2 linked regions of the Lytechinus pictus genome follow. The protein of the gene in region 1 interacts with the protein of each later gene in a biochemical or structural test. Links are inferred from orthologs where the notes say so. Each region holds a gene or a part of one and is shown in the gene's direction. Other genes may lie near its edges.

Evidence for each region.
Region 2: the proteins of flap endonuclease 1-like (region 1) and checkpoint protein HUS1-like form a complex in vitro, tested with the Homo sapiens proteins (2 studies listed by BioGRID). The link is inferred for Lytechinus pictus from reciprocal best matches to the Homo sapiens genes FEN1 and HUS1.

What each region holds. Positions count from the first base shown.
Region 1 is NC_087246.1:25,352,220-25,368,328, forward strand, and holds the start of flap endonuclease 1-like, read left to right. Parts: upstream 1-8,064; 5' UTR 8,065-8,436; coding exon 8,437-8,518; intron 8,519-10,553; coding exon 10,554-10,656; intron 10,657-11,092; coding exon 11,093-11,152; intron 11,153-11,805; coding exon 11,806-12,022; intron 12,023-13,204; coding exon 13,205-13,341; intron 13,342-14,053; coding exon 14,054-14,120; intron 14,121-14,923; coding exon 14,924-15,055; intron 15,056-15,957; coding exon 15,958-16,044; intron 16,045-16,109. UniProt on the Homo sapiens protein: Structure-specific nuclease with 5'-flap endonuclease and 5'-3' exonuclease activities involved in DNA replication and repair.
Region 2 is NC_087247.1:32,717,101-32,733,970, reverse strand, and holds the start of checkpoint protein HUS1-like, read left to right. Parts: upstream 1-9,701; 5' UTR 9,702-9,845; intron 9,846-9,933; exon of another isoform or gene 9,934-10,061; intron 10,062-16,870. UniProt on the Homo sapiens protein: Component of the 9-1-1 cell-cycle checkpoint response complex that plays a major role in DNA repair. The 9-1-1 complex is recruited to DNA lesion upon damage by the RAD17-replication factor C (RFC) clamp loader complex.

The sequences.
Region 1 (16,109 bases):
GTGTATGGTTATAAGACTTCTTGCCAATCAGCAGATTATTTTTGCCATAGTTTTCATATTTTGGTCGCAAATGTCACGTACAAAGCTGTATATTTACTTTACTTTTTCATTTCAATAAATTATTTTTTTAGCAATGAATATTCTTTCATACTAACATTTTTTGTCAACCAAGAATGACCCAATTTGTAATTAGGAATTTGAGAGCTTGTAATCAATTCAAATCATTTTATTTTATGCAACAAGCAGATAAATCCTTTTCTGTTAGAATTGATAATTTAATATCCTATCTAACACACAATTATAATGATTTGAATAAAGTACAGCAAATTCACCCTATTAACAACTAACAATTAACAATTAGGGGTTTGGTGAATGATAACATCTGTTCTCGTTGTGAAGTAGAGGAAGATATTCATCACGCTTTCATTTCTTGTGATTTGAACAAACCATTCTTTGAATTTTTGAAAAAAATAATCCAGCAAATATTTCATAAATATTTAGAAATCAATCATTAAAATTTTGTTTAAACATGAAGTAGACAAAAAATTAGTTTTACTTCTGACTATCGCACTTTGGTGCATTCACAAAGTCATCGTTTTAAGAAACATGAGTGGAAACGAAAAGAGAGGCAATCCCAGAAGGAAAAACCAGTACGGCTGGACCAGTTACTCCAGTAAAATTTAATTGGTAACTCTGAAAATTGGAACAAAATATACTGGTCTGCTATAAGCTGGACCAGTAATTTTTTGATGGTCAAATTTAACTGGACCAGTATAATTTTAACTGGACCAGTAACAAATATACTGGTCAAACTAACTGGACCAGTAATAATTTTACTGGTCCAATTGAACTGGACCAGTACAAATTGTGGTGGACCAGTAATTTTACTGGTCAAATTATACTGGACCAGTACAATTTTTGCTGGACCAGTAATAATTTTACTGGTCCAATTAAACTGGACCAGTACAAATTGTGGTGGACCAGTAATAATTTTACTGGTCAAATTATACTGGACCAGTACAATTTTTGCTGGACCAGTAATAATTTTACTGGTCAAATTAAACTGGACCAGTACAATTTTTGCTGGACCAGTAATAATTTTACTGGTCAAATTAAACTGGGCCAGTACAATTTTTGCTGGACCAGTAATAAGTTTACTGGTCAAATTAAACTGGACCAGTACAATTTTTGCTGGACCAGTAATAATTTTACTGGTCAAATTAAACTGGATCTGAAATTCATATTTTTAAGAGAAATAGAAAGAAGAATAGAAATGAAACCTCGGTATAGGAAAAGATATGTTCATCTACCCAAAGAAATTATGGAATATATTTGAAACACTGTGAATTTCATGTTTCCATTTAATGTTTTTTTTAATTTATGTTAAAGATTACGTAAGATTATTGCACAATTACATTATTATGTAAATTTTTGTTTTGATTTCTGAAATTTCCTGTAATGTCATGTATGCTCATTTTCATAATGTGTTATGTTTTTTTTGTTGTAAATAAAATCCTCTAATTGAGGCCAAAAAAAATGCAATTAAGCATTTCTTGGGTTGACTTTTATTAATTATTAAATATGCAATCCTAAAAAATAACTTTTTTTTTTAAGTAACTAAATAAGTTTGTGAGTGAATTTTGAAACATAATTTTAAAAACAATGGCAAAGATAATGAAAATGTTAAGAGGAAGTTTACTGCTTAGCAGGAAGTCTAATGACCATATATTTTGTTTCCTCTCATTTCTGCACAAACCTATTTTTGAACCCTTGACAAATCTCGTGTTCGTTCAAGCATGAACAAAATTCATTTCTTAAAATTGCATTTAAAATATAAGGTTTCAGAGCATCTATAAACATCAAAATATAGACATCATAATTTTAAATTAATTTTTGATAGACTTTTCAAAACTGTCCAGTTTTTATTGATAAGCACTGTATTGATAGAATGAAGGGGCTTGTCCTTAGATAAGGTTCACTGGCCCTCTCTTATTATTTGCGCCCTTTTAAAAAGTATTTCTTTTTTACTATTGAGGGGTGAATAAAAATGAAAGTATTCTTGACTGAAAAGCAAAAGTGAAGATTGCCCCTGAAAGAAATTTCGGGTGTTTGTGGAGGGGAGTTTCCCTTCTGTCAATTCGTTTATAAAGGGGGGGGGGGGGGTTAGTGCCTACATTTCAGTAGCCCACACTCCTATATATTATTTATATCCTTTTTTGTCCTTATTTTACTGTTGACAGTAATTGGGGATTAAGTAAAATTAAAAAACCTCCTGATAGCAAACGGAAATATAGCTCCTAGAAGACCATTCGGTTGTTTGTAGGAAGTTTATTAAACCTCATTTCAATTTTTGGATACTAAGAAGGGCTAGGGCTGATTTTTTTAGTTGCCCGCACTCCTATAATATACTCGATGTTTTAAAAATATTGAGAATGATATAATGGAAAAAGATTGCCTGTTGAAAGCAAATAGAAAGATTGCTCCTGGTAGAGCTTTCAGTTGTTTGTAGGGGGTTTCACATATTTGCAATCTAGGGTTACAAACAAGGGGCTAGTCCTAAAGTAAAAAAAAAAATAGTGATCCCACCCTCCTGGGAAGATTGATCCATAAAGAAATTTCGGGTATGTGAAGCGAGTTCCCTAATTCCTTCAATACGTTTATATTAACAAGTGGCAAGTGCGCGTACACACACACACACAAACACACACCATCACACTGACACACCCTCACACGGACATATATACATATATATATATATATATTCATATTTTTTTATATACAACTTCGAGGGAATTGAAAAAAAAAATGGTTGGAATTTATGAGGGCTCCAGCCCACAAAAGCCCTCCCCCTCTCCATCTGTACGCCAGTGTTGATAACAAAAGAGAGTCAGAATAACAGCTATAGAAACAAGTGACCAAGCGAGAAAATTTCTTGGGTATTGAAAATTAATTTGCATTATACACCACTTAAAAAGCCTATACAGTGCGAAATATATTTCTGTTTCACAATGCTCTTTTTCGCGTATTATCTTGCTTCAAAACAAAACAAAGTGGGGTTAATGGGGGAGAAGGCTGTAGCCCCCTTAACCCTATCTAGCCCGAGGAGGAGGGGGGGGAGCTTAATAAGCCCCCACCCCCTTGACATTTTTCGCTAAACGTCTGTAATGGGCTAATAAAAGTAAAGCACTAACCATTTGTTTTTGTTTACAAATTGAAAGAAGGGAAACTCCCCTTCACACACCCGAAATTTGATTTAGGAGCAATCTTCCAATCAATCTTTATCAGAAAGAAAATTCATTCTAGATTACTCTTCAATATACGAAAGAAACAATCTTCCAATTGTATTTTATAAAGAGGACTTTTAGTTGAAATTTACTCCTCAATATACGAAAACACATAGAGTATATAGGGGTGTGGGCTACTAAAATTAAAGCACTAGCCCGTTGTTTTTCTTTACAAATTGAAAGAAGGGTAACCCCCCTACACACACCCAAAATATATTTCAGGAGCAATCTTCCAATTGTATTTTATAAAGAGGACTGTTAGTTGAAATTTACTCCTGAATATACGAGAAAACATAGAGTATATAGGGGTGTGGGCTACTAAAATTAAAGCACTAGCCCGTTGTTTTTCTTTACAAATTGAAAGAAGGGAAACCCCCCTACACACACCCAAAATATATTTCAGGAGCAATCTTCCAATTGTATTTTATAAAGAGGACTTTTAGTTGAAATTTACTCCTCAATATACGAAAACACATAGAGTATATAGGGGTGTGGGCTACTAAAACTAAAGCACTAGCCCGTTGTTTTTCTTTACAAATTGAAAGAAGGGAAACCCCCCTACACACACCCAAAATATATTTCAGGAGCAATCTTCCAATTGTATTTTATAAAGAGGACTTTTAGTTGAAATTTACTCCTCAATATACGAAAACACATAGAGTATATAGGGGTGTGGGCTACTAAAACTAAAGCACTAGCCCGTTGTTTTTCTTTACAAATTGAAAGAAGGGAAACCCCCCTACACACACCCAAAATATATTTCAGGAGCAATCTTCCAATTGTATTTTATAAAGAGGACTGTTAGTTGAAATTTACTCCTCAATATACGAAAACACATAGAGTATATAGGGGTGTGGGCTACTAAAATTAAAGCACTAGCCCGTTGTTTTTCTTTACAAATTGAAAGAAGGGAAACCCCCCTACACACACCTAAAATATATTTCAGGAGCAATCTTCCAATTGTATTTTATAAAGAGGACTGTTAGTTGAAATTTACTCCTGAATATACGAGAAAACATAGAGTATATAGGGGTGTGGGCTACTAAAATTAAAGCACTAGCCCGTTGTTTTTCTTTACAAATTGAAAGAAGGGAAACCCCCCTACACACACCCAAAATATATTTCAGGAGCAATCTTTCAATTGTATTTTATAAAGAGGACTTTTAGTTGAAATTTACTCCTCAATATACGAAAACACATAGAGTATATAGGGGTGTGGGCTACTAAAACTAAAGCACTAGCCCGTTGTTTTTCTTTACAAATTGAAAGAAGGGAAACCCCCCTACACACACCCAAAATATATTTCAGGAGCAATCTTCCAATTGTATTTTATAAAGAGGACTGTTAGTTGAAATTTACTCCTCAATATACGAAAACACATAGAGTATATAGGGGTGTGGGCTACTAAAATTAAAGCACTAGCCCGTTGTTTTTCTTTACAAATTGAAAGAAGGGAAACCCCCCTACACACACCCAAAATATATTTCAGGAGCAATCTTCCAATTGTATTTTATAAAGAGGACTTTTAGTTGAAATTTACTCCTCAATATACGAAAACACATAGAGTATATAGGGGTGTGGGCTACTAAAACTAAAGCACTAGCCCGTTGTTTTTCTTTACAAATTGAAAGAAGGGAAACCCCCCTACACACCCAAAATATATTTCAGGAGCAATCTTCCAATTGTATTTTATAAAGAGGACTGTTAGTTGAAATTTACTCCTCAATATACGAAAACACATAGAGTATATAGGGGTGTGGGCTACTAAAATTAAAGCACTAGCCCGTTGTTTTTCTTTACAAATTGAAAGAAGGGAAACCCCCCTACACACACCCAAAATATATTTCAGGAGCAATCTTCCAATTGTATTTTATAAAGAGGACTGTTAGTTGAAATTTACTCCTGAATATACGAGAAAACATAGAGTATATAGGGGTGTGGGCTACTAAAATTAAAGCACTAGCCCGTTGTTTTTCTTTACAAATTGAAAGAAGGGAAACCCCCCTACACACACCCAAAATATATTTCAGGAGCAATCTTCCAATTGTATTTTATAAAGAGGACTTTTAGTTGAAATTTACTCCTCAATATACGAAAACACATAGAGTATATAGGGGTGTGGGCTACTAAAACTAAAGCACTAGCCCGTTGTTTTTCTTTACAAATTGAAAGAAGGGAAACCCCCCTACACACCCAAAATATATTTCAGGAGCAATCTTCCAATTGTATTTTATAAAGAGGACTGTTAGTTGAAATTTACTCCTGAATATACGAGAAAACATAGAGTATATAGGGGTGTGGGCTACTAAAATTAAAGCACTAGCCCGTTGTTTTTCTTTACAAATTGAAAGAAGGGAAACCCCCCTACACACACCCAAAATATATTTCAGGAGCAATCTTCCAATTGTATTTTATAAAGAGGACTTTTAGTTGAAATTTACTCCTCAATATACGAAAACACATAGAGTATATAGGGGTGTCGGCTACTAAAACTAAAGCACTAGCCCGTTGTTTTTCTTTACAAATTGAAAGAAGGGAAACCCCCCTACACACCCAAAATATATTTCAGGAGCAATCTTCCAATTGTATTTTATAAAGAGGACTGTTAGTTGAAATTTACTCCTGAATATACGAGAAAACATAGAGTATATAGGGGTGTGGGCTACTAAAATTAAAGCACTAGCCCGTTGTTTTTCTTTACAAATTGAAAGAAGGGAAACCCCCCTACACACACCCAAAATATATTTCAGGAGCAATCTTCCAATTGTATTTTATAAAGAGGACTTTTAGTTGAAATTTACTCCTCAATATACGAAAACACATAGAGTATATAGGGGTGTGGGCTACTAAAATTAAAGCACTAGCCCGTTGTTTTTCTTTACAAATTGAAAGAAGGGAAACCCCCCTACACACACCCAAAATATATTTCAGGAGCAATCTTCCAATTGTATTTTATAAAGAGGACTGTTAGTTGAAATTTACTCCTGAATATACGAGAAAACATAGAGTATATAGGGGTGTGGGCTACTAAAATTAAAGCACTAGCCCGTTGTTTTTCTTTACAAATTGAAAGAAGGGAAACCCCCCTACACACACCCAAAATATATTTCAGGAGCAATCTTCCAATTGTATTTTATAAAGAGGACTGTTAGTTGAAATTTACTCCTGAATATACGAGAAAACATAGAGTATATAGGGGTGTGGGCTACTAAAATTAAAGCACTAGCCCGTTGTTTTTCTTTACAAATTGAAAGAAGGGAAACCCCCCTACACACACCCAAAATATATTTCAGGAGCAATCTTCCAATTGTATTTTATAAAGAGGACTTTTAGTTGAAATTTACTCCTCAATATACGAAAACACATAGAGTATATAGGGGTGTGGGCTACTAAAACTAAAGCACTAGCCCGTTGTTTTTCTTTACAAATTGAAAGAAGGGAAACCCCCCTACACACACCCAAAATATATTTCAGGAGCAATCTTCCAATTGTATTTTATAAAGAGGACTTTTAGTTGAAATTTACTCCTCAATATACGAAAACACATAGAGTATATAGGGGTGTGGGCTACTAAAACTAAAGCACTAGCCCGTTGTTTTTCTTTACAAATTGAAAGAAGGGAAACCCCCCTACACACCCAAAATATATTTCAGGAGCAATCTTCCAATTGTATTTTATAAAGAGGACTGTTAGTTGAAATTTACTCCTCAATATACGAAAACACATAGAGTATATAGGGGTGTGGGCTACTAAAATTAAAGCACTAGCCCGTTGTTTTTCTTTACAAATTGAAAGAAGGGAAACCCCCCTACACACACCCAAAATATATTTCAGGAGCAATCTTCCAATTGTATTTTATAAAGAGGACTGTTAGTTGAAATTTACTCCTGAATATACGAGAAAACATAGAGTATATAGGGGTGTGGGCTACTAAAATTAAAGCACTAGCCCGTTGTTTTTCTTTACAAATTGAAAGAAGGGAAACCCCCCTACACACACCCAAAATATATTTCAGGAGCAATCTTCCAATTGTATTTTATAAAGAGGACTTTTAGTTGAAATTTACTCCTCAATATACGAAAACACATAGAGTATATAGGGGTGTGGGCTACTAAAACTAAAGCACTAGCCCGTTGTTTTTCTTTACAAATTGAAAGAAGGGAAACCCCCCTACACACCCAAAATATATTTCAGGAGCAATCTTCCAATTGTATTTTATAAAGAGGACTGTTAGTTGAAATTTACTCCTGAATATACGAGAAAACATAGAGTATATAGGGGTGTGGGCTACTAAAATTAAAGCACTAGCCCGTTGTTTTTCTTTACAAATTGAAAGAAGGGAAACCCCCCTACACACACCCAAAATATATTTCAGGAGCAATCTTCCAATTGTATTTTATAAAGAGGACTTTTAGTTGAAATTTACTCCTCAATATACGAAAACACATAGAGTATATAGGGGTGTGGGCTACTAAAACTAAAGCACTAGCCCGTTGTTTTTCTTTACAAATTGAAAGAAGGGAAACCCCCCTACACACCCAAAATATATTTCAGGAGCAATCTTCCAATTGTATTTTATAAAGAGGACTGTTAGTTGAAATTTACTCCTCAATTTGGGAAAAAGAAGTTCAGTAATTACCAAAAATAGAATCAGTGTTAGATGGAAAATCATACGCATACACTTTGTCAATCAGCCATATCAAAATTAAAAAAAATAGCAATGGGTTGGCTCGAATGAATATCTATGGCCTGCCACTAGTGATTAGGCCCGTGTAGCCCTGATCCCGTTTGTTTGATTTGTACAAGAATGCACGCTTCTCTTCGTGCGCAAAATCCTGTATCTGATCTATCTTATATCGCAATATTGTTGGCTGGAACTGTTGGCTGGCTTGCTGTTGGCTGGCTTATTGTTGGCTCACTTGACATAGGCTAAGTTTGTTTCAAAATGAATGACAGGAAGCACTCAGTGGAGTAATCACCATGTGCAAATACCCGCGAACTTTCGCGCGCGCCTTGATGACATATGCCAGCCACTGAATGCCAGTGATGCTGTTTTCTCTTGTCATTTCTTGACTCTGCAGTTCTGTACATTGTTTACGAATTAAATCACATCGAAGGGCTAATTTAAAATACATTAAGACGTCTAATTAAGATGGGAATTCTAAATCTTTCAAGACTAATTGCTGACTGTGCTCCAGGAGCAGTGAAAGAACATGAATTTAAAAGTTATTTTGGTAAGACAAGAAGAATAAGATCTTATTAAATTTACTTTAGTTTAGTAGCACTGTGTTTTTGTACTTTGTACTTGAATTTGAAACTATAGTATTTTTACTATTAGAGTAAGACTAGGTCTAAGTAACTTACTTGAAACTTAGATTTAGAATTTTCTTTTGATCTTACATACAGACAGAAGGTTACATAAGTAGCAATGTCACATGATTTTCAGTTTTAAATCAAAAGTAATACATATGATGATATGTTTGTACTTCTGCTTATGCCTTATCATGCTTGTGTTCTTCTCTAGGTAGACTAGACTCAAGATAAGACTAATTAACGTTAGACCTACGTTTTTTCAATTATTCCATGTAAATGCAAATTAGTGCATAATTAATAAGGCGAATTTCAATATTTTTTCCACTCATTTCGATTTTTGAAAGAAATCATACCTATTGCTTAGCTTATATTATCATCAATAATTCTTTTCAAATGTAATCTTTAAACAATTAATGTGGATGTTAAATTGAATTCACTTGGTTTGCTCCTTTTTTTTAATAATTATATTATGTTAGTTATGAAAATGAAATTATCCCGAACAAATGATATGTACAAACATGCATTTCCACATTTTTGCAATGTATAAAGTCATATAAGGTTCAGTTCTGGATGCAGGATCTTCTGTTCCTCTATGTCCAGCTCCTGGTGATAAACGGTGACGTCTGAAGAATTGGCGCGGTCCAGGGGAGGAACCTAAGTTAAAGTCAATCATTGTCAATCATCAGTCAATCATTCATCAATCAGTGTCTCAATGTCATGTCATCCTGAAATTAACTTTAATCATCATCATCAATCCATCATCAGTAGAGGCGCTGGTCCAAAAATTGGGATTGTCCCTGAAAACAAGGGGCCTGGCCTATTTCATGACGAGAAAACAATACGTAGGAACGTCCTAGGACCATTCTTCCGCGATCGGAAGATTGAAATAATCTGCATCATATAGGGAAAATAACCATGAAAATGAGAATGATCAGCAAACACAATTGAAATAATCTGCATCATATAGGGAAAATAACCATGAAAATGAGAATGGTCAGCAAACACAATTGAAATAATCCGCATCATATAGGGAAAATTACCATGAAAATGAGAATGATCAGCAAACACAATTGAAATAATCCGCATCATATAGGGAAAATAACCATGAAAATGAGAATGATCAGCAAACACAATTGAAATAATCTGCATCATATAGGGAAAATAACCATGAAAATGAGAATGATCAGCAAACACAATTGAAATAATCCGCATCATATAGAGAAAATAACCAGTTCAACTTGAGGTTGATTTGAGGATACATTCAGCTAGCACACACTTTACTTAGTAGAATTTATAAAAGACATCACCAATATTATCCAAATATATCGGCCTAGTATTTTTTGTAATTATATTTTTATACCTAGTTGTTATTATTATATTCCCATTCGTTTAAATGTTAAACAGTTTTTATAATATCTCTCCAACGTTCACAAGGAAGCAAAGAAAAAAATTTGATAAAAATAAATAAATGATTTTGCGTGTTTAGTAACATTTTATTTCTTTATTAATTTTTTGCTGAACTTATAAACACATGTCATGTTGTCTTTACCAGTTTTCAGGGACTGTCTTAGTTTTCAAAGATTTCTCCACACAAATCTAAGAAAGTTCATTCACCTGTCATGTGTTAGTCAACATATCAGGTTTCACTGAATCTATTTTTAGCAATCTCAATCCCCGTAATTGCCGTCTATGTCCCGCAGGGGAAAGTGAAAAAACACTGTCCCCATGAACAAGGACAATCCTAATTTATCAAGACATGATTTGTCTTGGTTAAGGATATCCTTGTTTTCTGAGACAATTCCAAATTTTGGACCAGCACCTCTACTAAACGCGAATTGCACATGCTCGGGGATCGCGGCTCAAGATGCATATTCATGAGTTTCCTATAAAGATCTGATAAATGAATGCAAATAGCGAAACAATCCTGATATTAATTTCATATTATTTTTCCCTCAGGCCGTAAAGTTGCCATTGATGCTTCTATGTGCATTTACCAATTCTTGATTGCTGTACGTCAGGATGGGTCTGTACTTACAAATGAAGAAGGTGAAACTACAAGGTAATATTTGATCCCTCGTTCACTCTTGTTCAAAGTTCATGTAGATCTTTTTATGCACACTCAAAATTATATAATAAATTAACTTCAATATTATATTACACAACTGATTAAGTTCACCGATATAAAAAAAGTAAGTCAAAGAGAATTTATATTTGCCATCCCCCCCTTAATTGATGACAAGTATTTTATACTTACCAGGTTGGGTACCCACATCTCATACTACGAAAGTTTCACTGGAGACTTATGTCTACCATGAAAGTGTTACAGGGGAAGGAGTACAATGAAAACCACTCCTATATCCCATCACTGACATTGGTGGAAAGTTAATCTAGAAGAACCAACTGGAAGGCATACAGATTACTTATAAATTCTTCCACATCCTACTAATATTTATTATATACCTTTACCCACATTTTTTTTTCATTTTTATTCGCAGCCACCTTATGGGAATGTTTTATCGTACTATCAGGATGATTGAGAATGGACTGAAACCTTGGTAAGAATGATTCACCCACATAGAACCATCCTTCTCTATTCTTAGATGATTAATTTGCTCAAAGTGGTAGTCAATTTACCATTAATCTCCAGAGCCAGATACTTAATTGTTCATTCAAATGATAAACCAAAATCTGCTGCTTAATGCTTTATAATATAAGGAATGAAAATAGTCTTTAAGATCCGATTCGGATCATTAGGGTCTACTATGTCCAATAGGAACCTATACTGTTCAAGGTTTAAAGGGGATGGAATGTTGATAAATGGTTTGATTTCAAATCCCTGTAAGGTGTAGTGATTGTAAATTTGTAAAATTCTCAGAAATAAATAAACCCTCCTCTCTTGTCCAATATTTCAAATTTCTCCTATCAGCTTCTCTGATCTTTCAAGTTTCTTTAAACATTGTAATGTCTGGGCAGGATTCCCCTGAGAATGTCCTGATATAATACAGAAATTGAACTACCATGGAACTGTACCGTTTATTTCCACCTTTGACCCAGTAGGCCTACTCATTGCTGGAATACTCCACAGAGAGCGGAGATTGTGCAGGCAAGCAATAATCCAATGGCCTGGGTAATAAAAGCACTTCGAGACATTGCTCCAGTGCTATTGTAAAGTAGAATAGTAGTAGTAGTATTATTTCTTACCCTTCAGCTATGTGTTCGATGGGAAGCCTCCCGAAATGAAATCTGGAGAACTGACAAAGAGGAGGGAGATGAGAGCAGAGGCTGAGAAGGAGCTGGAGAAGGCCAAGGAGCAAGGAGACCAGGAGAATGTCAATAAATTTGAAAAACGATTGGTGAAGGTTACCAAGCAACACAATGAGGAGTGTCAGCACCTCCTCAAGCTCATGGGTATCCCTTTTGTTAAGGTTAGTTCACAGAGTCAAAAGACCCGATACACATGCAGCCGATACATATGCATCTGGTTTGAGGCCGCCTCCGACCCCGGCTTTGAAGCCCCCTTCACGTCTGCAATTTGGATGGTGATGCACATACGTGCAAAGTGGACTCAAGCCACCTCGACATCATCATTCCCCTTATGCACATAAAGCCGGCTCCAAGTCGCCTTTCTTTTCATATCAACATTTTCTATTGTTCGTTAGCGATGACTTTTGCTCGCTATTTCTAGTTTAGTGGTCAAGCCGGCCTGAGTTCACTTGGGGGTGAAACACACACCAATTGCAGGACTAAATCAGCGTGAAGGTTCCTTCAAACCACATACAAAGGTGGACTCGGTCTTTATTCAGTCCGAGCCGGTGTCAGCCCGGCAATCAAAAAAAGGGAGATGGTATACATAAGTCGAGCCACCTCCGAAACCGACTTCAGTTCACTTTCAGTGTATTTGTATCACCACCCCAAGATGCTTTTAACATCACTTTTTATAACTAAAAAGTTCCAATATGTAAGGACTGTTACAGATTGTCATTTTTATCAGCCTAGTACTAGAAGTCTCCCTTGTTATGGTTGGCTCATAGAGCCAAAGATGCTTCATCGGTTTCTAAAAACTAATGGGTTTCAAAATGAAAATTAGAACTGTTCAAATGTTTTTATTTACAGTGTAGTAGTTTCTCTTGTTTTAGGTGCTGGTTAGAGTGTTTCATATTAATAGTTAATGAATTCAGTTAAATAAATCAAGAATATAATGTTATTTCAATTTCAAATTTATTTGAGGATGGTGAAATTTTAATTTTTTTGATCAATAACTTGTATCAGGGTTCCCTTTCGTAAATAGTTATGACTGGTAAACCCCCTTGAAAGCCTTGATTTTGATTGGCTTTTGAGCCCTGTTACTGTGGTATTTGCCATGATCTCATGGTTTAGAAGCTCTTTATGAAACTGTGCCCAGGCATGGACAAGGCTGACATGAACTCATTGCGGACTGGAACCGGATGGTTTCTCAACGAAACCTATGGGAATCGCACAATTCGATAGTCAATGTGTTAACACATTGCTTACTAGAACTGGATGATCTCTATACCAAACCTTTGGGAATTACAGGACTTGGTAATCAAAGGGTTATCTGTACGAATTGTATTCCACAATCCATCCAGGCACCAGGAGAAGCAGAAGCACAATGCTGTGAACTCGTGAAGAAAGGCAAAGTGTATGGGGTAGGCACTGAAGACATGGATGCATTGACGTTTGGTGGCAATGTTCTACTCAGACATCTGACAGCCAGTGAAGCAAGGTACTAGCACCATGATCAAAGCCTATAGATCTTTAGTTTTGGTTAATCCCCTCCCCCCCCAAAAAAAAAGTGCTTTTCACTATTTTATTTCATTACTAGATTATATTAATGCATGTGCCCCAAAATGGTTGTGGTGTGAAGGATATATATATAAACTAAAAATATGTTTTATTAGGCAAATTTTCAGATTTTACGTTAAAATTTAAATTGATTGGGTGCCTGAACAAAATAATGTGTCTGTATTTTTGTAAAACACCTCAAGAATAGAATTGGCTAACAATTTTAGGATATGCCTCTAAGTAGCTTTTTAATATTCAATTTCTAAATATGCAAAGTAAGTGTTCCAACTGCTATTTTGAATAAAAATGTAAAACATCACAGAAAGAAGAAGCTTGATTTAAATTTGAATCTTAATGGCCTGTAAAATGCAAATTCTAATGGGGTAGGAAAAGAATTAATTGACTGCTTTGCTTTTGTAATATTGCAATGATTGATGATACTTGAGTATAATTCACATTACTTACCCTTTATCAAAGATTGAGATAGGCTTTAAGTGCAAAGAAAAAAGATGAATAGGAGGGATGAAAATAAAGATTCTTATATTGAAAGATTCATTCAATTTATATTTACATTCATATTCTGGACAGCTTGAAGATAGCTTGCTTTCATTCTTTTATAAAACTGGAATATCCTGTCTTCTAATTTCTGATAGGAAATTGCCTGTTCAAGAGTTCAACTACCAAAGAGTTTTAGAGGGTCTCGGCATGGACAGACAACAGGTAAGATGGATATTAAAATGACTTCAGTAGACTCATTGGCCTGTATTCTGAACTTAGATTTAATCAAAGATACTACAAGGGGAAGATAAGACAGTACATAGACCGCACAATGAAACGCTTGGGAAGAGCGCTCTACAGCGTTGAGCAAGTAACAACCTTTTTATACCTTTGCTTATTGCGAGATGGTTGTGTACAAAACATTAGAGAGAAATGGTGAAGGGTTGAAGGAATAGACGATTTTCACATTTTAAGATTTTTTTTCTTCAAATTTTTCTTCCTTGAATTAGAGATGAATATATGTTCAGAGGGTTTTGGGTATTTCAAAAGGTGGAATTATTCCCATGTGCCACCCTTGAGCCCTCTCCAAAGTCCCCTCTCTCATTTCCATCATATGTTTTATACACAGCTGCGTGCCGATGAGCGATGGTTTACTTACTCAACGCTAGTGGACGTCCTTCCCCATGAGCATTTATCGAGCGTTTCAAAAAATCGCCAAAGTGTCCAATCTTCCCCTTGTAGTATTATTGGTGTAATTTAAACTCTGGTCTAAAGTTGCAATTTAACTATGGATAGCCAACTGTGACAGGTATCTCTCACAGTACAAGTTCAATTTATCAGCTCTTTTGACACTCAAATCATTCATAATTGTCAGGAAATAATTATTGAAATTATTTTCTTTACTGTTTTAAGCATGAGGAAAGAGCAAAGTTCACATAAAAAACCAAATAATATAACCATCTTGAACCGTTATCATACATTGCAACCATCTAGAACCGTTTCATTCATTTTTTGTCTCTCATTAGTTCATTGATCTGTGTATACTTATGGGCTGTGATTACTGTGGTACTATAAGAGGTATTGGTATGAAGCGAGCCTACGACCTTGTAAAGACGCATGGCAACATTGAGACAATCCTACAGAAGATAGACCAAAATGTAAGTAGAGTTTAAACAGTTTGATTAAGAAAAGGTTGAAGACCGATAGCAAAGTAACCTTCAATCTGTCTATTCATGATTTGCAAAATAGAGGTATGTGGTATTTATAATTGGACTGTGTTTATGTGATGTGTTCTCCAATTACCTTTGGTGTGATTTCTACTTGAGAGTCGAGATGAGCTCTTAACTTTGATATGTCAAAGATTTCATTTGGAGGTATAAAGAGCATTGTTCAAATATGTGTAATGTTAATTTCTTAATGGCTTTAATTTTGTGTTTGATTAATTATATGGATTTTATTTACTCCCAACTACCATCTACTTGAATTTCAAGATTCTTAGTAATTTTTTGGGTAGATTTTTAGTCATTTTTTTTTTCTGGTAGGTAGATTTTATTATTTTTTTTATTCAACTATAGCAGCCTTGCCCTACAACTCTCCTTCCTTCAAGGTTGTATATCACACTGATGTTATATTCAATATGGGAGAAATATCAGACCTATTGAGGTAATAAACTGTAAGTTAATCAGAGGTCACTCTTGGCAGAATTTTTTTTCCATCGTGAAGGTTGCACTATATCTATAGGTGTGTATGTTGGAAAGAATACTAGTATAAAGCATCTGAGTAGATTCCACTGTACATAGATTGAATGTGGGGAACTTTAGAGGCTCCAAGAAATAACTGACCAATCAGAAACATGTCCCCAATGTAACTATCCTACGTAGGGACCACTATGATAAAAAGTACTAAAGACAAATTACAGATTATAGACATATTCTTCTTTTTGCTTGCCTGACCAGTTACCTGTCTAACTTGAACCCGGGTCCAAATTAACTCTTATAAATGACTCTGTCACTTTGGTAGGGAGGGATTCATCAGCATCTTATTTGATTTTCATTTTCAGAAATACCCTCCCCCAGAGGACTGGCTTTTCAAGGAAGCAAGAGAACTCTTCCTGTCTCCGGACATCACTCCTGCTGAAGAATTGGATGTAAGAAATATTAAATGTTATCATAAAACAAAATAAAAATTATTATTTGTAAGAGATAAAATGGT
Region 2 (16,870 bases), on another chromosome or scaffold:
GTTTGAAAATAGACATTAAAGGGACAATAACCGGAGGGGTCATGTAAAAAGGACCAACATAGTACAAGACAGGGTCTAAATTAGGCAAAATGAAGATTTTGTGGCTAACTTTATGTGAAAAATGCATGTAGCTGTGAAATGGTTTCTTCCTGATACTGTTTATATATAAATGAAAGCATGGATGAACGAATGAATGCTAGATAATTATTCCATAGTATTACAAAAAAGATAAATTATCATCGATATCACAATCCTAGAAACCTGAAGAAAATAAGGGGAAAATTATCTCCGAAATGTGACTAGGCCAAACAAATTTTCGGTACAACATTGAGTTTGCCCCGCACCGATGTCTCCATTACAGGCCCGTCCGAAGGAATTTTAAGGAGTCTCCAAGCAACAATATTTATAAACACACACTTTAAAAGGATGCTTATTTGTCCTCACACCAGCATGTCAAGTTAACAAAAATAACTAACACTGAAAGGAAAAGTACGAGGTAAATTTTTCATACACGTACTTACATTTTTTACTATTCCAAGGATAGAACTTGCCTGGCGAGACCTGTCAATGCATCTGCCATGTTCTTCCTTGAACTTCCAGTTTTACCTACAACCAGCCTTTCTTCTTTGTTTCTTTATTTCTATCTCACTATCATAATTTTACCAGTAATATTATCTTATTATTTTATTTTTCATTATTATCATCTTATTTGTTCATTTCATTACCAATCATTAATTTCTTATACCTAAAAATAGTGTCACTCATTCCTTGTAACTTTTGATAATTTGCTTTAATTTTTTTTTTTTTTTTTGGGGGGGGATGTCACGACGGTGACGCTGTATTATATATTTGTTGCATATTGCCTATACACTAGGAAACTAAGTTACAGGGGGTTGCCTCCCGTACAAACATGGCTTTTCCTTGGCATGCTCCTCCGTTCTTTCCAGTGGCGTAGCTAGGATTTTTTTCCTGGGGGGGGCACTGGGGGGTCCTTGCTTTTTCAGGGGGGGCACCATTTTTCCGGTGTGTGTATGTGTCACAAGGGCGGATCCGGCTTTCGCCAATAGGGGACGGGGCCCGAAATTATCTTCACCTATATTTTCCCCGATCAGTCCCTTCTCAGTTTTATTCTTATAAAACAACATAAACATGAAATAATCTCATAAGCCTTATAAAAAGTGCGAGCGCGAAGCGCGAGCGATTTTTTTTAACTTTCATGTATTTTGTCCTGAAAATGTGATATTCTGGGCAATGTTATGTGTGATCCTGAAGAAGATTCGTATGTAACTAGATGGTTACTGCGAACGCCAAGCGTTAGCAGAAATTTTTATTAACTGTTCTAGCATTATCGAAAAGGGACCTGTTAAGGAAGATGGTATATATTTCAATAATGCGAGCGCGAAGCGCGAGCAAATTTTTTTGACATTCCGACCTAAAAAAAATTGTCATTCTAAGCACTTTTTGTATTAATAAATGGGATAGTTATGTAACTAAACAATTGATGCGAGCGCGAAGTGCGAGAGGAAGAAAATTGAGATTTTAGACCTAAAAGCGGGACACTATATTCATATTTTGTAAATCATGAATAGGATATAGTTAATTGGGTATCATTAATAATGCGATCGTGAAGCGTGAGCAGACAATTATTGATATTTTGATGTGAAACTGGATAATTTAAGTACATTTTAAATAAAGAACATGCAGGCTATCGCGCATGTTTTAGATTTAGACCTAGAATCTGGGCATTCTGAATACATTTGTTTAATGGAACATTATGGAATACACGTAGCCGGGACACGTAGACAATATGAACTTGGCAAATCAAACAATGTGACCACGCAGCGTGAGCTTAAAATGCTGATATGTAGACCATAAAATGGACATTTTACAGAGCACTTAAATTTGTAAATGAAAAAAAATAATGAAAGCTCGATGTCCGAGCTAAAATATGTTTTGTATATTGACTTCAAAACTTGCTCCATATCAGCCTATTGAGCAAGATATGAATCTCATCGAACAGGCAATTCTGGCGCGAAGCGCAAGAAAAAAATTTATAAAGTAACATGAAGGATTTTTTTTTTGCAAGTCTTCCCCTCACATTATATCATTCACTCGTCTTCCTCCTCTTATTTCCTCTTCTTTTTTTTCTTCTGTCTTTCTTCTTCTTTTCCTTTTTTCTTTTCTTCTTTCTCCCTTTTTTTTTTGCTCTGCCATTTTTTTTCAGGGGGGGCACCTGGGGGGGCACACCAAATCTCAGGGGGGGCACGTGCCCCCCCCAGGCCCCCCCGTAGCTACGCCACTGGTTCTTTCCCGATTATATTATAAGACCTACTTACAAGCAAAAGTCACTTCAGCTCCATTTTTCATATATCTTTTAATTTGTATGTATTACCACGATTTGCGCAGTTCTTTGTGATTTTTTTTAAACTTTGATTTTATTTTGTTGAGTACAGAAAGAGTAGATCTTAATCGCAATCTCAGTTTTATTGAGATCGGGGTCGACATGCATAAAAAATATGAGAAGTGGGGTATAAATCCGTGGCATATAGAGGACAGCAAACAATATGCAACAGAGTATACCAATTTAGTTGAGTGGTTGTGTTCGGATGGGCCTATTTACAACTGGAAGGCAAAAGATATTCATTCGAGCCAACCCATTCTCATTTTTTTATTTTTATGTGGCTGATTGACAAAGTGTATGAATATGATTGTCCATCGAACACCAATTCTATGGAGGGTGACGATGCAACTTTCTTTTCCCAAACTGAGAAGATATATCGCCAACTCTTGAACAATTTTTGAATGGCGGAAGGATTAGGGATATTTTCATGTTTCAGACGATGAATGTGATCCCTCTGGAGATATGTCATCATAAATGCCAATTTATTTTTAGAGTGAGCTGGTCGAGGGTCCCGTTTCTGGTCAGATATGGATTGATATGGATTCCGAATTTTATCCTTATTTGTAATGATATTTTTTAATAAGTGCCACTTTGCACACGAGTCTATGGGAAACTTTTTACGCTCGTGAAACCTACAGTATCTTGCTCAACGTGGAGCTATGCTATGCTTTATATTGGTAGTAGAAGTAATTTAATAATTAAAAAAAAAATGGAATAGCCCAAATAAAAAAGAACTTAATTAAGTGACAAAATGGAATAACCCAAATAAAAATAGAAGTAATGTGATAATAAAAAACAAAATGGAAGAACCCAACTAAAATGGAATAGCCCAAATAAAAAAAAGGAATTTTATAATAAAAAACAAAATGGAATAGCTAAACTAAAACAAGGAATTCAATCATAAAAACAAAATGGAATAACCTGAATATAAAAAAAGGTATTTTATAATAAAAAACAAAATGGAATATCCTAACGAATATGGAATAGCCCAAATGAAAAAGAAGTTAACTAATAATTAAGTAACAAAATAGAATAACCCAACTAACATGGTATAGCCCAAATAAAAATAGAAGAAATTAAATGACAAAAAACAAAATGGAATACCAGTACTTTAAAAACCACTTAAAACCATCAAAAATAAATTTAAGCCGGTTAAAATAACCAGAAAAGTAATATGAACAGTTAGAATCGCTTTAAATACGGTAAAAATTACCAGAAAACCATTATAAACAACCTTAATTCTATATTACCGGTTAAAATAACCGGAAATACTTTCAAAACCATTTAAAAACTGTTTAAAACCGGCTTAAATAACCGGAAAACAGTTAAAAACAACCTAAAACCTATTTAACAAGTTATAATTACCGGTAAACCATCCTAAACTTGTAGAACTAACCGGAAATACTTTAAAAACCATTTAAAAAACTGTTTTAACATAACCAGAAAACCATTATAAACAACCTTAATTCTATTTTACCGGTAAGAATTACCGGTAAATCTTCCTTAACTCTTTTAAACCGGTTGAATTAACAAGAAAAGTAATATGAACAGTTAGATTCATTTTTTAACGGTAAAAATAACCGTAAAACCATTTAAACAACCTAATCCCGATTTTACCGATTAGACTTACCGATAAACCTTCCTTAACTGGTTAAGACATCTGGAATTGCTTTAAAAACATTTAAAAACTCTATTAAACCGGTTAACATAACCGGAAAACAATTTAAAACACCCTAAATCGGATTTAACAAGTTAAAATTACTGGTTAATCATCCTTAACCGGTAGAACTAACCGGGAATACTTTAAAAACCATTTAAAAACTGTTTTAAGCCGGTTAAATTAACTAGAAAAATAATATGAACAGTCAGATTCATTTTAAAAACGGTAAAAATAACCGTAAAACCAATTAAATCAACCTAATACCGATTTTACCGGTTAGAATTACCAATAAACCTTCCTTAACCGGTTATAATAACCGGAAATATTTCGTTCAAAGGTCTCTGTATTTGAAAATAAAGCTCTTGAAAGTAGGAGTTCTTTATGGAAGCTTAAAAGTGCCACCCAGATGTTCAGATCGTTCAGTTCACTTGACTCACTAAACGCCTGGAAAGAGTAACAACGCAAGCTCCTTCTTTTTTTTTTGTCCCATTTTATCTTGAAGTGAAATCGCATGCCCTCATCCACATATCACTTGGGGCCTAATAGGTGTTACATGCAGATGGAATTGTTATGGAAATTTTTTTTCAAGCATTTTAAATATGTGACCTTGTTTCCTCGGTCGCTAAGCTCCCTGTTTGGTCAGATCAGTATAGTCTCCCACTTATTATGCTGCCCATAATAGGCCATTTCAATTGTATTGAATAAATCAACGTTTAAAATTTCTCAAGCCCCCAGACGCCGCCTTAGTTGTTTTTTAGTCTATATAAGCACATCTCTGTTACTGTAGGTCTATATTGCTTATGAAATCCAGTTTGAGTCATACCTGAGATTCGTTGCATTAATTTGTATTTCAAAAATACAAAAGCATTGCTAAATGAATTAAGGGTGTTTTATCTCCAGAATTATTTTACAAGCAAAAGAAAGAAAGAAATAAAGGTCGTCACTCGAAAATAGGCCTAAATCCATTTTGATTCTTTTATTTTAGGGTTGCAATTTTTAAGGGGTAAGCAATCAACCCCCCCCCCCCCCCCGATCTGCGCCTGGGTATATATAGGGAAGACTAAAGAGTTACAAATTAGCCAAGCCTCTAGTTTTTTTCAAGTGTTCAAGCCCTGCCAAATATATAGTGAAATGAAATTAAAACCTGCCAATGAATACAATGGAAAAGTCCCGGGGGGGGGCAGTCAAATGTATTGCTGTACACATTCGTGACCAAATTGTTTCCAAACACCCCCTAAATGATTTTTTCTCTGTGTGCAAAATAACCTCCTAAACAAGTTTTTCGCGGGCTTCATTTACACATTTTGGCCCCAGAACAGGTTGTCGACAGAATATGATAAATAGATAGCTAGATAGATAAATGGTATTTATTAAAATTCTCCACATATTGCAGTTAACAAACTGAATTACATGTGAATTACAAAGCTAAAAATACAAGTATACATTTCATTGAATACATTTTACAATACAATGTTCAAGTGTGTAAGTAGATAAAATACAGTATACTGTATACCATTAATCTTATGATACAATTAAAACTATTAAAATCACATTCATATATAACTGTGTTGTCAGGATCAAGAAAGATTTCTGGAAAGAAGAAGGCAAGGAAAGAGTACAGGGTTAGAGAAATTAGGTAGGAAAAGAAGAAAAAGAAAAACCATCAGGGAGGGTAAGATTGACCCTGACAAGGACACATAGCAAATACATAAAAAAGAAAGGGCAAGTTACGGCAATGAATATGATATGACAAATAATCCTAACAGTTATATACAATACCAAAAGCATAATCATTCAAGGGTATTCATTGTACAAACGGATCAGATCAGGGATTGGGCTGTTCCACATACGCTTAATAATAATAATAATTAACATCATTTATATAGCGCTTATCACAAAGAATGTCTCTAAGCGATTTGTTTTACATCTGGGTTCGTATATCTTTCTTGTTTTACGTAGGTTTTATGTTTGAAATCGTTGGGGAATGAACTGTTCAAACTGAACTGTAAATAATAAAGTTTTTTTGAAGAAGGCGACACTCGATCATTTCGATCATTTCGACGTTTTTCTATTTGTTGTAATTTTGACAGAGTAAGAGCAGTAGTGTAACAATCATAATCATTTCTAAGAATAATTCTTAAGGCGCGTTTTTTAATTCTTTCTAAGCGTTGTCTTTGGGCAATTGTGAGACATCCGCTCCAAACTGGAGCAGCATATTCCAGTATTGGTCGAATATAGCCAATGAAAATTGCAACTAAATCCTCGTGAGAAAGACCGTATTTTGCTAAAGTGCGGGTTTTGCGTTTGCTCTCTTTTCAATGTCAGAAATATGTGCTTCCCACTTTAAATCGTTCTGTATTGTAACGCCAAGTAATTTTACTTGGGTCACACTGGCAAGTACACAATTATCAAGGTTAAGTGGATAGTGGTTAACTGGATTTCTAGAGAAACAGATGTCCATTTGATACACTTTGTAGGATTCAATTGCATTTTATTGGATTCAGCCCAATTATGCAGACATGTTACTGCTTCTTGCATGTTTGAAGGTTGGTTTGATTTACGACATTCGACCAGAGTTAAATCGTCAACATATTTAAACGTATGCATACATTCATTAGTTTTGAAATCATTTATCATCATAAGAAAAATTAAGGGACCAATTGTTGAACCCTGGGGCACACCTGCCTTGATCTGGCACCAATCTGAAAGATCACCTTGATAACGTACACATTGTTTACGCTCAGACAGAAAATCTGAAATCCAAAGAACTATCGATGGGCGCACACCAATTTCGATTATTTTTTTAATGGCAACTGTGTGATCTATTCTGTCAAATGCCTTTTTGAAATCGGTGAGAAGAACAGTTGATATTGTTTTTGGTGTTTCTGCATTTAAGAAAATATGGTGAAGAATATTAATAAAACAATGTGAGGTTGATAAATGTTTTTGGTTTCCAAACTGACAAAGATCAATGTGTTTAGAAATATCTTGATACATCCATTCTGCTATAAAACATTCTATAACCTTAGCAAAGTGATCTGTCAGAGATATAGGTCTGAGTTTGTCAATACTTGGAGGATTAACTTTCGGAATCGGCACCACGATGGCCCGTTTCCAGGAGTCCGGAACTTTAGCCTGCCTAAAAGAAGCATTGATTATACACGTTAAAGGATCAGAGAGTTCTACAGAAAAAAGGCGAATCAAGCGCGCTGAAATACCGTCAGGGCCATTAGCCTTTGAACCTTTGATTTTTAAAAGGGCCTTGTTAACTTGCCATGGGGTTACATCAGGAAGTCTTCTTGATTGTAGGTATGCAGGGAGACAAGCCATATTAAGCGGCTCTAAGTCAGAAGAGACAGATATGAGATGTTCATTTATAGCATTTGCTATTTTCACTGTATCACTAGGATCAATACCTTCATCCCGGATGTTTAGTGATGCTTGGTTTCCTTTTGTAAGGATCTTTATTTCTTGATACCATCGTGAAGGATTACTTTTTTTAAGTCTCTGGATCCTCGATGAGTAGAAATTTAATTTTGATTTCTTTATAAGTGAATTTTTTTTTTCTCAAGTGCTTCCGAATATTTTCTTTCCCTAGATGAAATGCAATCTGTCTCTTGTGAATCAGGGATTTGATTTCTCCTGTCATCCAGGGTTTATCCCTAACATGAAGAACCACCTTACGAATAGGACAATATGTGTTTATTGCAGAATTTAACGTTAAGTGAAAAGAATTACATAAAACGTTTACATCGAGATGGTCCTTTAATTCTGGCCAGTCATAATTGGATATCCATCGTCCAAACGCTACCGTTGCACTGTCAGCCATTTGTCTATTAAATACACAACGAGTAGTATTTGATAATATGGCTATGGTTTCGGATGGGTCTAAAACTTACCAAATTATGATCTGACATTCCAATAGGGGAACATATTTCTGGTTTATGATAATACTGATGAATATTAGTAAAAATCTTGTCTAGGATATGAACTCCTCTGGTAGGACAATCCACAACTTGTCGAAAAGGATGAGTTATAATTACTGGATCAATGTTCATTTGAATAAAATCGCCCAATACCACAATTCCTGCATCCATGTGATTCGTTAGGATAATATCTATAGTATTCACTAAATGACGATTTAGTTCACTTTCGAGTTCTGCATCAGGTTTTGGATAGTATACAACAGCACAGTAAATACAAGAGATATATCTCGGAAGACGGGGAGGACGTATCTTCATCCAAGTCACTTCAAGGTCGTCGGGAACTTGGATGTTGACTAAAGAATGATTCAAATACTCTCTCACATATATCGCTACTCCACCACCTCGTCGATCACATCTTGATTTAGCTCCTAAACAATAGCCCGGGATGGAGAAACTATTAGATGCATGGACAGTCATCTCTAAACCAAGTCTCAGTAATGGCGGCAATGTCTGCATTAAAATATGAGATAACGGCCGATAACTCATCAAACTTATTGCAGGCCGATCTGACATTGCACAAGATAAAAGAGGGTAGGTAAGATTTGACCTAAACAAGATTTGTCTCGCGCCCGAACACTTTTCAGAAACGAAGAGGAAAAAGCTTGGGTAAAAACATACCCTATAAACACGTTTGGTTATCTTAAAAAAAAGCTTTGGAAAAAAAAAACATACCCTAAATACGTTTGACCCCGCGATTGACCATTGACCAGTCTTTCAAAACCACCCTTTAAAAAAATCAGGGTTGAGTTTAAAGGACAAGTTCACCCTATCATGAAGTTGGTTTGAATAAAAAGAGAAAAATCAAACAAGCATAAGCCTAACACTGAAAATTTCAACAAAATCGATCGGATGTAAAATAAGACATTTATGACATATCTTAAAGTTTCGCTTAATCTCACAAAATAGTTATTTTCATATCATGTTCGGTGTGCAAGTGAGGAGACAGATGACATCATCAACTCACTATTTCTTTTGTATTTTCATTACATGAAATATGAAATATTATAATTTCCTCCTCATTACCATATGGTACGAAGTTTTATTCCTCGTGAACATGTGTAGTTATCATTGTTTTAACATTTTGAGGTTTAAACAAAAGAGTCAATAATTATTGTCAAATCTAGCTGTAAAACTTAAATATTATTGTATAAATCAAACATTAAAAAAAACAAAAGAAATAGTGAGTGGGGGACATCGATCACCTCATTTGCATATCACTGAGTTGTGCATTTTACACTCGATTTTGATGACATTTTCAGTGTTATGCTCTTTTTATTCAAATCAACTTTTTGTTGGGGTGGACTTGGCCTTTAATCGAATGTTTTATCAGTCTGTTTTATTCCACAGTTACCATAGTAACAGTAAAACGAGTGTGCTTCACAGCCGATAAAAAACAAAGAAATCTGTCATTAATTTCAGGTGACAACTTGTCAGAGAACTGCTGAAATTTCAGATTTAATCTACTACTGTTGTACCTACATACCAACGATCATTCAATATATTTAAAACCATGATAAAGGTAATAACAGTGATTAGAAATACATTTTCTTTGTCACATGAGTTATCTCGATTAATTGATTATCGATAAAAATGAGGCATGATTTTTCGACCCTGATGGGACTCGAACCCACAATCTTCAGCTCCGGAGGCTGACACCTTATCCATTAGGCCACAGGGTCTGACAGCCGTGCGAGGATGTCGCATGTGATATATTATTCGACAACAGTTGTATAGTTAATTTTTTTTTTTTTGCCGACTCCTGACTAAAGATATGACTCATTTTGCCAAATATTGTGTAGTGAGTATAGTAATTTGATGGAGAGCCAATTTGATAAATGAAGATTATTTACTGTCGGTTTTATACCATTTCAACGTAACGTAGGCCTAACGACGACAACGTTAGGCTAGGTCGAAGGATGTCACAAGATGGCGCGAGATTTTACTTCTTCGCGGTTTGTTTGACGTTGATTTTGTTTGTAGTTGAATCGGTACGGTAATTATATATTTTTGTCTTGTAGGTACCATTTGAATTCAATTACGATTAAGTTAAATAATGCCGTTGATTTTAGTATTTTCATATTTGATGGAAATCCTTGAATTAACAAGTTGATACAAACTTGGGAGGATGGCATTATGTTATTGCTGATACATTACTGTGTAGGTCTACGGTACCGTGCCATAAGAACGGGTGGTAACACGTTTCCGTGATAAATGTATTCGAATAACACGTGTATAAAATCATTAATCACAGTATGAGTGGTGCCCCATGCTTGTGCATTGCAGATTACAGATTTTTGCTTACTTTCAAGTTTGATATTTAATAATTTCCTTCTACTATTATTCAGAAATCTTGATGTTCTACACTTTGTCTGCATAATTAGGGCCTAGCTTATAATATAACTGTTTTTAATTATTCCTTCTTTTGAGTTTGTAGTATATAGTATTGGCAAGCTCAAGCGTCAACTTCAAGTAGAGTTACCAAAAGGTCTGCCGATCCACTGAGCAAAATTGCTATGGGCAAATGAAAAGTCAATTGCAAGTGCGTAAACAGTGTGCATTGCCACCATCGTCTGTTCTCGACGGCAAAAATGAGCATTGAAATGCTTTTCCTCAGCAAATTAGTTCATCTTAGTGAAAAAAATTAGGCCCTGTGTTTTTTATATTTAAATTTACTTATGTGGGATGAAGTGTCTTACCTTCATGTGGTATCGAAAGTGACGTTTGGAGGTTAAATCCACGAGAAATCCACAGAGTTTCGTCGCGTGTATTCGCTATGGAGAAAAATGCGTGCGATCGCATGCGTTATTGCAAGCTCGAGACGGCGCTGTTGAACTTGGTCTGGAAATTCATAAAAAATAAACAAAAATCCTTGAGTAGGCTCACAATAAAATCATAAAAAATATGCTTTATGGCTAAAACGGTAGTTCTCTTGCCCACACATATCATATTTGTTGTTGCGTAAGAAATCCTTTTTTCATGATAAAAATATAGCAATAAATGTTTTAAAAATTATGTTTTCCACATGGAATATGTTTGAAACATCTATATTAGAAGAAAAATGTGTTTTTTTAATGAATTCAAACTAAAATGAAGTTTATACATGCCTGTACTTTTTCATACTACTCAAAAAACTAAATGGGCCGTCAATCAACGTTGGTTACCTCGGCAAGTAGGCGTGGTCTATCGTGAAGTTCGCTGGTGACGTACCTTTCTCGCTAGACTTTACTCAGCCGCCGAATTTAATTCATTCTCCGCGCACGTGCAACTGCAACTTATTATCGTCACTGCACTGCTGGTGTTTGCCGCATTGAGGACAGATGAAACAATTCAGATAGAGTTGCGCGTGTACAATGAGTGAAACAGCGCGATCGTTTCATGATCGAATGTAACAGTGTGCCTGTCGAGATAAAATTCATATGTCATGTTATTTTCTATCGTGTTTTATGCAACTGCAATTGATTTGTTATATAATTTTTTCTTTGATATTTCCTGTATATGTATGTATGAATTTTATTTGAAGTGAATGAATCATGCTGGTGTCCTTGCCATTGAGGACAGATGAAGATGAAACAACACTGATAGAGTTGTGCGTGTACAAGGAGTGAAACAGCGCGATTGTTTTATGATCGAATGAACAGTGTGCCTGTCGAGATTAAATTTATCTGTCATGTTATTTTCTATGATGTTTTATACAACTGCAATTAATTTTTTAAAATTATTTTCTGTGATATTTTCCTGTTAATGTATGAATTTTATTTGAAGTGAATTATTATAAAGATTAATCCAAAACAAACCTAAATAATTGTCGGCTTCATTGTATTCGTGATGAACAAGTTAAGGTATCAAAAAATTATGCTAATTTTTTTTATTTGAATGACTTTAAGTAAATTGGAATTGAAAAGGACGTTTAGTGTTTCCTGTTCAGTGCAATTTTTGTTTTCTTTTTTTCATTTCACATTCTCGGGATGCGAACCTCCACTATAATTATAATTAATGAATACCATTATAAACAAAAATATTTGAAAAATAAAGACTCGCAAAAATTTTAATACTAGTGCAACGGTGATTTTTTTTATTTTGTTGTTTCATTTACTGGAAGGTACGACAGACAAATACCCGGTGTAGATCAAAATTTTGCTAATGGGGGGGGGGGGGACTACAATTTTTCTCCCCGATCTGCGCCGTAAAAAAAAAAAAAAATTCGCACCGCCAGCCAGTAGGAGGGGTTGCCGCCGCCCATAATTGGGTCCGGCACCTGGATCTGCCTATGGAATGGATGAGGAATAAGGAAAGGGGAGACAAATAAAGGTCCCCCTCCCGTAATATATCAAATATTTGTTAGTGGATTTTGTCGTTCATTCTCAAGTGAGGACTTATTTTTCAACTTTTCCAAGGAATTTTGTGTATGGAATGATTTTTTCCTAGCATACTAGGTCTTGAATGCCCCCACTTTGGAAAATCCTGGATCAGCCCCTGTCAAAGTGTATATAGATGAAACTAAACTTGAATAGGGCTCCACATTAATGATTTTCAAAATTTAGCCATTTCCTATTTTCCCCGTTTAACACTGTGAGGTGAATAATTCAAATGCTTTCACCATCGCTACCATAGAAGGATCCAGGGGGCGGTCACCCCCCCCCCCTGTTGGCGGATTAAAGACCAAAAAATGGAGAAAGGAAGAAGAAACAGAAGGAAAAGAGAGTGGAAAAGGAAGAGGGGAAAAGGGAGGGAGAAAAGTGAATAAAATTAGGGAGGGGAGACTTTGATGATTTAAAAGAACATGCAAAATTGAAATTTTCGCTCGCGCTTCGCACTCGCATTGCTCATTTTCGATGAGTACATAATTATTGCTCAATAGGCTGATATATATGAGCTTGACATTTAAGCTTTGCAGTCAAAATACAAAACATATACTGTACGGTCAGCTAGGACATTGAACTTTCATTATTCTTTTTTATTTATACCTCGGTCACATTTGCTCTGCGGCGGCCGTACGGAGAGTCGAAACAGCCGTTTTATTCATTTTTATTCAAACCACCTATATTTAGCTGGCACAAAAAATGTTTAAACGACTGTTTTCTACTCGCCGTAGAAAAAGTGTGACCGAGGTATAACGAATCAATAAAAAAGTGCTTTGTAAAATATTCGTTTTATGATCTGAGTATCAACATTTTTAGCTCACGCTGTGCCCTAGCATTATTTCATTTGTGGAGTACCTATCCTCTTCATGTAGGCCCTATTCCATAAATTTATCAAAATATAAATTTTTAAGGTCTGATTGTCAAATCTTATCAGCTAGCATTGCACGCACGTGCTTAAATTGGTGAGTTATGTATACCTAAAATATATATAAATCAAAGTACTTAAAATCGCCTTTTCATGACAGTTTTTTGAGTTAATAATAAGTTTATTAAATTAAAAATTTGCTCGCAATTGCCGTTCGCATTAATTTCTAAAAGTACGTTACCGGTAATTAATGCATCATATTCATAATTACAAAAGTGCTTATAATGTCCAGGGTTAACACTTTAATATCAACAAATTTAGAGCTCTCATTAGGCTTATTAGATTAGTAAATAAGATATTAATAACATTTCATTAATTCCTAATACCGTAATTAAGTTGTCACTTTTTCAAAATGGAAGATCGACATGTTTCTTTTTGCGCTTGGGAAGAGGAATCGGAAGACATTCATAATTATGATGAAAAAATGTCCTTAGAATGTCCCGGTCCTAGGCCAGAATAACTTCAGCTCATGCTTTGCATTCGCCTCATTTTTTAAGAGCAATCCATGTCCACTTTACGATTATTTTCCTGCACAGTGCAGTGCTTAATTTGACCTTTTCACATCGGAATATCCAATATTATCAGTTCGCGCTTCGCGCTCGCATTATTGATTTTCCGTGATAAAAAGTGTATTAAGAATGCACAAATTCTAGAACACGCATGTTTATTGAGACGGGCTGCTTATCCTTTATTGAAAACAGCATGCTTAAATTATCTCGCTTCAGATTAGAATATAAAAAAATTTCTTCTCGCTCTTGCATTATAAAATAATGTAAGACGGTAACCAATTACCCACCCTTTTCACGATTTAGAAAACATAAATATAAAATAGTGTTCCTTTTTAGGTCTATATATCTCAATTGTTATCCGCTCACGCTTCGTGCTCCCACTGTGTTCTGTTCATACACAAAGTGCTTGGAATGTCTATTTTTATGGTCAGAATTTCAAACATTTTAGCTCGAGCTTTGCGCTCGCATTATTTTGATTGAAATATGCATCGTCTTCTTGGCTAACTGTAAACCGCCATTAGCAAGTCCCTTTTCGATCAGGCCAGAACGTATATTTCTCTCTTTTCTTACTTACTTTTTTTTTTTGCTCCTTCGCGCTCGCAGCAATTTTAGTAAAATACGCATCTTGTTCCATTTCACAAACATTGCCCAGAATGTTCAATTTTGAGGATAAAAAACATGAAATTTCAAAAATATTTTAGCTCGCGCTTCGCACTTGCACTATAGGGGCTATGAGATTATTGTATATTGTGTTTTGTGTATGCTGTTTAATGAGAATAAAGAAGTGACTGTTTGGACTACCCCTATTAACTTTGAGCGGCTGATTGTGGAAAATACGGGTGCAAATATTTTTCGGCCCCTTCCCCGGTTTATTTCCAATTTGTCTAATTGCCAACTCGTCTACTATCGTTTGGTCCATCAGTTCGTCAACTCACCACATAGTCTTTTTTTTTCATTTAGTCTAATGCCATTCCGTCTAATGACCAGTGGACCCAAAAGCCATTTGGTCCATATACCATTTCATCTAATTGGACTATAAGTGTATTATTGTGCAAAATGAATGAAAATAAAATGGGTATTAGACCAACCGGTTATGAGACTAAATGGTCATAGACGAGATGGTTATTAGACGAAGTGATGATTGGACCAAATGGTTAATGGACCAATGGCTGTTAGACGAAATGTTGATGGACAGATTGGCATTAGACTAAATGAAAGTAGACCATGTAATGAGTGGACAAGTTGGCCGCAGACGAATTGGCACCCCCCCCCCTATTGGCGATAGATCCGCCCATGCACTACTACTTCTTTCTTATCTCATTATGATCTCTCAGTTCCATATCCCCCCTCTCTCTCACTTTTTCTACGAGGACTCTTTTATCGTATGCATATCTTCCTTCGATTTCCTCCCCCCTCTCTCTTTCCCTCTCCTGACTGCTGTTCCTTTATAGTTAATTCCCCTCTTTTCTCTCAAACCCCCTTTCTGTCTCAACATCTTTGCCCCCCCCCCCTCGGCATCTCTCCCATTCGTGAATTTCATTCAATTATTCTACCCCTTTCAATATCTCCAACATGCTTCTATACTCCTCAATGTGCCATACACACCTTGAGAGAGAAAAAAAAAAACCTCAAGAGATATATGGGCAGAAATAGCATGGGTCAAAGAAAGAAGCATTAATGGTTCAAGATTATGGGATTCACAGAATTTAATGCATATGTAGAGTAAATACATGGTTATAATGTAGTAACATATTGATAATGGCAGTTAAAAGGAGGGTAATCCTTGTGACTTGGCCTTATAAAAATTTTGGCTCGCGACTTGCGCTCGCATAAACGGTTAAAAATATTACCTGATACATCATATTCATAATTACAAAAGTGCTTGAAATTTCCAGTTTTCATACCATGTTATCATCAGATTTCGCGCCTCATTAGGCATTTATAGATTAGATATTAATTTTAATGGCTAAATTGTCCTTTCTGTTTCATCTAGCTCTTAGCAAGAGGAATAGGAAGATATTCATCACTTTCATGTCCCGGTCCTTTGTCAAATCTATCAGCTCTTTATTAAGTGCGATCCAAATCCACCTCACAAAGTACTTGAGCTGAAATTGACCCCTTTTTCAGATCAGAATGTCAAATATTTTAAGGTCGCGCTTCGCGCTCGCTTTGATTTTCAATTTCATGTTAAAATATATATTCAGAATGCCTAGATTGTAGGCCTAAATCGGAAACACGCGAGCGCATGTCTATCTAGATACTCAACTTGTTAGTATTTCAACCATTATCCAGTTTCTGAAAAACAAAATTCTGCTAGCGCTTTGTGCTCGCATTTTTTATGTAGGAAGAACCCCTATTACTCATCCTTATTATACAAAACAGGAATAGAGTGTCCCATTTTTTAGGTCTAAATGTCAATTTTTTCCGCTCGCGCTTCGCGCTCGCATTAATTGTTTTATAACGACGATCCTGTTCATGGTCACAATAATTGATTAAAATTGTCCATTCTTTATGTAGAAGTGTAAAAAAAAAAATCGGCTCGCGCTTGCATTATTTTATTGTTGAAATATGTAACGTCTCCATGGCTAAGTGAAATAAGCACTCCTTAACAGGTACCTTTTTGATCAGTTCAAAACGTATACAAAAATCTTATGCTCGCGCTAATTTGCGCGAGCATTATTAAAGTAACAAAGATCGGCAATTTGACATCCTTTCCATGATGATTTAAAAGACATGACTAGACATGTCTCGTTTTTAGGTCTAAATCTTCCAATTTTGTGCTCGCGCTTCGCATCAATTGCTAATTGCAAAGTGCCTATGATTTCAATTCTGTTCGCACTTCGCGTTCTTAGTAATTATTTAGTTGCATACACATCTTTTTCATGATAAACATTGCCCAGAAATTTCAAACTTTGGGGAAAAAACATATTTTTTTTAATAAATTAGCTCGCACTATATAAAAAGGGTTATGATATTATATATTTATGTTGATTTATAAGACAAAAGCTAAGAAGTGACATTTCTTCAA